Linked DNA regions of Macaca mulatta. Each later gene encodes a partner of the first gene's protein in a complex. Links are inferred from orthologs where the notes say so. Each region holds a gene or a part of one and is shown in the gene's direction. Other genes may lie near its edges.

The links.
Region 2: HEATR3 (region 1) and RPF2 share a complex: the UniProt entries of both Homo sapiens proteins name them as parts of the hexameric 5S RNP precursor complex. The link is inferred for Macaca mulatta from reciprocal best matches to the Homo sapiens genes HEATR3 and RPF2.

The regions. Positions count from the first base shown.
Region 1 is NC_133425.1:45,548,485-45,552,303, forward strand, and holds part of HEATR3 (HEAT repeat-containing protein 3), read left to right. Parts: intron 1-1,510; coding exon 1,511-1,687; intron 1,688-3,656; coding exon of another isoform or gene 3,657-3,722; exon of another isoform or gene 3,723-3,819. UniProt on the Homo sapiens protein: Plays a role in ribosome biogenesis and in nuclear import of the 60S ribosomal protein L5/large ribosomal subunit protein uL18 (RPL5). Required for proper erythrocyte maturation.
Region 2 is NC_133409.1:16,098,569-16,102,387, forward strand, and holds part of RPF2 (ribosome production factor 2 homolog), read left to right. Parts: intron 1-700; coding exon 701-803; intron 804-3,819. UniProt on the Homo sapiens protein: Involved in ribosomal large subunit assembly. May regulate the localization of the 5S RNP/5S ribonucleoprotein particle to the nucleolus.

The DNA.
Region 1 (3,819 bases):
CCTCTTCACCTGCTAAGAACTTTACAGTGATGACTGATGTTTTTAAGAATCTATTTTTGAAAAATGATACTTGCAAAGCTTTTTTTTTTTCCCCCGAGATGGAATCTCACTCTGTCACCCAGGCTGGAGTGCAGTAGTGCGATCTCGGCTCACTGCAACCTCCTCCTCTGGGTTCAAGCAATTCTTCTGCCTCAGCCTCCCGAGTAGCTGGGATTACAGGTGCCCCCTACCACACCTGACTAATTTTTCTATTTTTAATAGAGGTGGGTTATTGCCATGTTGGCCAGGCTGGTCTTGAACTCCTGGGCTCAAGCCATCTGCCCCCTTCAGCCTCCCAGAGTGCTGGGATTACAGGCATGAGCCACTGCACCCAGCAACAGTTATTTCTTAGTGTGTCTAATTCCGGTCCATATTCATAATTTTACAGTTGCCTCAAAATTATCTGTTTACAGAGAGCTTGTTTACATTGATGAAGTCCACATGTTATGTTTCTTGTGGGGTCTTCTCCTTCTCTCTTAATCTTGAACAATTCCTCCCCGGCACCACCTGGTTATTCTCAGCTCCTGAATCAATTGTCCTATATGGTGTCCAGCCTTCTGGATTTATCTGATTGCTACCTTGTGGTGTTAAATTTGTTGTTTTATCCTTTTATGTCCTGCACACTGACAGTTAGATCTACAGACTAGTTTAGATTCAGATCAGTCCTATTTTACATTTTTTAGAGATGAAGTCTTGCTCCATTGCTGAGGCTGGTCTCGAACTCCTGGGCTCAAGTGATCCTCCTGCCTTGGCCTCACAAAGTGCTGAACTTACAAGTGTGAGCCACTTGCGACTGGCCCTAAAGTGTTTTTCTTTTTTTTTTTTTTTTTTTTTGAGACGGAGTCTCGCTCTGTCGCCCAGGCTGGAGTGCAGTGGCGCGATCTCGGCTCACTGCAAGCTCCGCCTCCCGGGTTCACGCCATTCTCCTGCCTCAGCCTCCCGAGTAGCTGGGACTACAGGCGCCCACAACCGCGCCCGGCTAATTTTTTGTATTTTTAGTAGAGACGAGGTTTCACCGTGGTCTCGATCTCCTGACCTTGTGATCCGCCCGCCTCGGCCTCCAAAAGTGCTGGGATTACAGGCGTGAGCCACCGCGCCCGGCCGTAAAGTGTTTTTCTTATGCTTTTAAAAGCAGATTTTTTGTTGTCGTTGTTACAGATAAGATTTCTATGCATCTTGACATCATAGAGCAAGCCTTTTGAGAGAGGTAGAGAGGAAAGTTTAGTGATTTCCTAAATCATACATCATTTATGGTTTTTAATTCACTTTATGAATATAAACTATAATATGTTTAATTTATCTTGCTTATACTTGGTATGTTTATAAGTATTTAAGTCTGATCTCTTAAAATTTTAATTTTTCCCTGGCATTTGTATATAAAATAGTATGCATGAGTTATTGCCACATTCAAAGTTAGTACTTGTTTTGGAGACTGGTGTTAGTCATATTAAATGTGTTTTGTTGTTTCCAGAATATTGGGTGCTTTCTGCTTGAGGTTACCACCAAAGATCCTTCCCTTGTGGTAGCAGGAGAAGCTTTGGATGCCCTCTTTGATGTTTTTGCAGATGGTAAAGAAGCCGAAAGAGCCTCGATTCAAATTAAATTATTATCTGCTCTGAAAGAATTCCAGCCGGTCTTTAAAATGAAGGTTTGTAGCCATTTAACTTATAAATGCGTAAGTCTGAACATTCTGTGGGGACGAGGGTGGGTGTAGTTACCGCTGTGCAATTCAGAAGCATGTGCATGACAAATCCCCATACGTAGCACAGCATCCCCAGTACTTTGTAAAATGTTTATTGACTGAGTCATAGCTCAACAGTGTGACTATTGAATCACTGAAACTGAAGCCAAAATGGTATCTGACAAGTTCTTCTTTTTTTAACAGTTCAGTAATTTTGACAATGCTTCATATATGTCAGTGTTATACTCTGTATTTTGTAAAGCACTTTCATACACATTTTGCATTTATTTAATTTTACTTTTGTGTGTTTTTGAGACAGAATCTTGCCCTGTTGCCCAGGCTGGAGTGCAGTAGCGCAATCTTGGCTCACTGCAACCTCTCCTTCCTCGGTTCAAGTGATTCTTGGGCCTCAGCCTCCCATGTAGCTGGGATTACAGGTGTCCACCACATCACCCAACTAATTTTTGTATTTTTAGTAGAAACGGGGTTTCGCCTTGTCATCCAGGCTGCTCTCGAACTCCCAACCTCAGGTGTTCCCCAACCTTGGCCTCCCAAAGTGCTGGGATTACAGGTGTGAGCCTCCATGCCTAACCATATTGTTTTTAAAGGTTACAGTCCTTTAAATTTCTGGATAAAGAGCTTGCAAGATAAGGAAAAAATATCCCCTATTTCCCTGCAACTTTAAGGAAAGCAGATATATTAATAGTTAAGAGTCATCAAACTCTGCAGAAGCAGGTGCTTAGAAAAGGTTAGATAAACAGTGAACTGGGAAAATAACCCCCGACTTCTGAAAGGTCTTTGTGCTGATTGATTTTCCTACTCAGTATGTATTGCTGTGGTAATAACATTTGTTTTTCTTTTATCAAAGGTATAAAGCTCTAATGAGATTTCTTACTAGCCAGAAGCTAGCCTGTAGTTATTTATATGAAACTTTTTTTTGCGAAATGAAGCCACAATTTGTATTAAAGGCTGTTCAGTGTATATTTAGCTACAAAATGCATTTATGTACAATCAAGAACTTCTCTTGAGCAGTGTTTCTCAAAAGTGCCCTCCTTGTATCAGCAGCATCAGCCCTGTCTGGTAACTTGTTCAAAATGCAGGTCCTTGGCCCCAACTCCAGACCTACTGAGTCACAGACTCTATGGATGGGTCTACCAGTCTGTTTTTTAACAAGCCTTCCAGGTGATGCTGTTGCACACTGAAACCTGAGAGCCACTGCTCTAGACTAGAGGTGAGATCAAACTCAGATTCCATACAATTGTTATAAAAAACCACAGGCCAGGTGCAGTGGCTCACACCTGTAATCCCAGCACTTTGGGAGCCCCAGACAGGAGGATCACTTGAGTCCAGAATTTCAAGACCAGCCTGGGAAACATAGCAAGAACTTGTCTCTACAAAAAAATTTTTAAAGTTAGCCATTAAGTGGTGACTTATGCCTGTCGTCCCAGCTACTCAGGAGGCTGAGCAGAAGGATCGCTTGAGCCTAGGAGTTGGAGGCTGCAGTGAGCTGAGATTGCAGCACTGTACTCCAGCCTAGGTGACAAAGCAAGACCCATCTCTACTAAAAACAAACAAAACCAGTGCTGGGCATGGTGGCTCACACCAGTAATCCCAGCACTATTAAAGGCCAAGGTGGTAGGATCGCTTGAGCCCAGGAGTTCAAGACCAGCCTGGGCAACATAGTGAGACCCCACCTCTACTAAAAATTTTAAAAAATTACTCCAGCATGGTAGTGCGCCGCTTGTAGTCCTAGCTACTGTGGTGGCTGAGGCAGGAGGATCACTTGCGTTCAGGAGGTTGAGGCTGCAGTGACCCATGACTGCACCATGGCTCTCTGGCCTGGGTGACAGAGAGAGACCCTGTTCCCAAAACAAAAAAAAACAAAACACTACAGACTAACCTCTGGCTAACAAAGGAATTTTTTCTTTTTTTTAAGATGGGGACTCACGTGTTGCCCAGGCTGGTCTCGAACTCTTGGACTCAAGCAATCCACCCGCCTTGACCTCCCAAACTGCTGGGATTACGGGCATGAGTCTGCACCCAGCCTAACAAAGGAATTTAATTAAGGCTTTATACCTTTGAGAGAAGAAAAATAATTA
Region 2 (3,819 bases), on another chromosome or scaffold:
ACCTCAGTCTCCCAAAGTGCTGGGATTACAGGCATGAGCCACTGCCTGGCCAACTACTCTTTTTAAAAGGAAACTTTATGTCCCTGTCATAAATGGAGAATGGTACATGATAAAATAAATATGTAGTAAATTATATCTGGCTTTGTATCATTAAAATGCTCGCATGTGCCACCAGTGGTATGATTACCACTTTGTGAGAAAAAAGCCTATCCCTGATATCCAAGTTTCTTTTCTGGCATTAACAGTTTATAAAGTTTCTTATCCTTTGCTTATATAATCAAAATTTCTTCTTAGAATTTTTTTCTTGTTGACCTCCCTCATAGAAAAAAAAATTGAAGCTAATTTGATTTTAATAGTCAGTTTGAACAATCATTTTTACAGAAATTTGCTACCTTCATCTACCTATAGGTTAAAATTTTATGCTTTGATTTACATTTTTTTAATGGATATGATTTTTTGTTGCCGAGCTGACTCAGAGGAAGAACTTCAAAACTGAAACATTAAATGTCTCAGTGAACTGAACACAGAAATAAAGTCATGAGATTAAATGCTTAAGGGGTGAGACCTTCAGACATTTTTCAGGAATCGTTTTTTGTGCTTTTTTAGATAAGTATTAGAACAAAACTGTTTAGAATGCAGTTGTAACTGAATTTTGCAAGTATTTGTTTTGTTTTGTTAACAATTTAATATGTGCTTTTAGATTTCTTCAGAGGCCCCACAGTATCAAATATCCGCCTGGCTGGATTAGAGTATGTTCTGCACTTCACTGCACTGAATGGGAAGATTTACTTTCGAAGCTATAAGTAAGAGCATTTCTTCGCATATTTTCTTAATCCTCAGGGTTAGCGTTTAAAACTGTGTGACTGTTTTATAGAGCCCAAACTTAGAATTGGTATCTGGCCAAAAGGTGTTTTGGAGAGTTGGCGGGATAGCAGTGGCACCAGCTTTCTGCTGATCCTCAGTCCTTTGCCTCCGAAACCCTACTTTTCCAGTGCCCCAGAGCATCTGATACTGCAGTGTCACTGAGCCAGGTGCACCAGCTCTTCCTAGCTTTATGCAGCATCTCTTTATTGTTCTTGGTTGGATTCGCAGCACTAAGCCACAAATCCTTGGCCAGCCGAAGCAAATCTCAAAACCCTAAGTCTAAACAATTGAGTCTAAAAGGAATAAGAAGATTCAGTGGCTAGATTCATTTCACCCTGTCTCTCTAGCCTAGGCCTTCTACCCCTACCACAGTATAACTATATTATAACTTAAGCAGGCTGAGCATGGTGGCTCACACCTGTAATCCCAGCACTTTGAGAGGCCGAGGCAGGCAGATCACTCAAGCCCAGGAGTTCAAGAGCAGCCTGGCTGACATGACAAAACCCTATCTCTACTAAAAAAATATAAAAATTAGCCCAGCGTGGTGGCACATGCCTGTAGTTCCAGCTGCTCAGGAGGCTGAGGCACAAAAATCGCTTGAACCCGGGAGGTGCAAGTTGCAGTGAGCCATGATTGTGCCACTGCACTCCAGCCTGGGCAACAAAGTGAGAGCCCTGTCTCAAAAAAAAAAAAACAAAAAAATAACCTCTTAAGCAGATTCTATGTTTATTAAAGAATTAATGACATGCTGTAATTGTGGTTCTTGAGGTAAGTGTGTGACTTCTCTTTTTTAAGGCGTTGGTACTGGCTGACAGAGCACACAGTTTCCTAAAGAATACACTGACTCCCACAAATTGCCTTTCTCTGTACATTGAGTTTAGACTTTGCTGTACATTTTGAGCTATGGTGTGGCTGGCGCCGCAGCCTGAGAGCTGACAGCTTGGTGTTGACAGTGTCTTCCGTCCAGTCGTGCTGGTTGTGCAGCCATTTGTATCTAGCATTTCGTGCATGGTTTTTGTTTTCCTTCACAATGAAATACATGACTGATGTCCAATGAAATGTCCAAATGAAACTTATATATTCACCTCTTGTCAGCTAGTAATTTCCATCTTGGGCTCAACCGTATTAAATCAGAGACACTTAGTTTTCTCCATATGATTAATACAACCACTTCTGTTTTTCTATTTTCCTCTCACTAAAAATAAAATAATAAGGCAAAATGCAATAAAATACCCAATGATCATAAGATGTAGTTAGTGACTTTATAATTTTTAGCTAGTTAAGATCGAAAGCCCTAAGTCTCCTGTTTGAGTTTCCATATGTGATCTGGGGGCTTCTAAGTATATATTATACTATACAGTAGATGACTGTTATTTAGAGAACAAGAAATAAAAGATGAAAAATCACTAATATAAAAAGGTACTCAGGCCGGACATGGTGGCTCACGCCTGTAATCCCAGAACTTTGGGAGGCCGAGGTGGGTGGATTGCTTGAGGCCAGGAGTTCAAGACCAGCCTGGCCAACACAGCAAAACCCATCTCTACTAAAAATACAAAAATTAGCTGGACATGGTGGCACACGCCTGTCCTCCCAGCTACTTAGGAGGCTGAGGCAGGACAATTGAGCCCAGGACGCAGAGGTTGCAGAGAGTGGGCGGATCACTTGAGATGAGGAGTTCAAGACCAGCCTGGCCAACATGGAGAAACCCCGTCTCTATTAAAAAATACAAAAATTAAGTGGGTATGGTGTCACACGCCTGTAACCCCAGCTACTCAGGAGTCTGTGGCACAAGAATTGCTTGAGCCTGGGCCACACGCCTATAATCCCGGCTACTTGGGCGGCTGTGGCACGAGAATTGCTTCAACTTGGAAGGCAGAGGTTGCAATGAGCTGAGATCATGCCAGTGCACTCCAGTCTAGGCGACACAGTAAGACTGTCTGAAAAAAAAACAAAACCTTATGTTGGCTGGACACCTGTCATCCCAGCACTTGGGAGGCCTAGGCGGGTGGATCACCTGAGGTCAAGAGTTCCAGACCAGCCTGGCCAACATGGCAAAATACCGTCTCTACTAAAGATACAAAAATTAGTCGGGCATGGTGGTAGACTCCTGTAATCCCAGCTACTCGGGAGGCTGAGGCTGGAGAATTGCTTGAACCTGGAAGACAGAGGTTGCAGTGAGCTGGATCACGGCATTGCACTCCAGCCTGGACAACAAGAGTGAAAGAAACTCCATCTCAGATAAAAAATAATAAAATAAAAATTGTATAAAATTACCTTCAAGCTATGTGTATAAACTGTATATGAAGCATAAATGAATTTTGTGTTTGGACTTGGGTCTCATCCCCAAGATATCTCATTATGTGTATGCAAGTATTTCAAAATCTGAAAAAAAAACAGAAATCTGGAACACTTTTCTTTCTTTGTTTTTTTTTTTTTTTTTTTGAGACTGAGTCTCACTCTGTTGCCCAGGCTGGAATGCAGTGACGCAATCTCAGCTCACTGCAGCCTCTGCCTCCCGGGTTCATGCCATTCTCCTGCCTCAGCCTCCCAAGTAGCTGGAACTACTGGTGCCTGCCACCATGCCTGGCTAATTTTTTGTATTTTTAGTAGAGACGGGGTTTCACCATGTTAGGATGGTCTCGATCTCCTGACCTCATGATCCACCCGCCTTGGCCTTGCAAAGTGCTGAGATTACAGGCGTGAGCCACTGCGCCCGGCCTGGAACACTTCTTTTTTTGAGACAGGATCTTGCTATTGCCCAGGCTGGAGTGCAGTGGCATAATCTCAGCTCACTGCAACCTCTGTCTCCCGCATTCAAGCGATTCTCCTGCCTTAGGTGGATATGTATGCCCTCTGTGTTAAACATAGAGGGGATACAAGGGAGATAAAAATATAACAATAAACAATTGTTGAGAATAAGAAATGAATAATAACAGTAGCCTAAAACTATTCTGT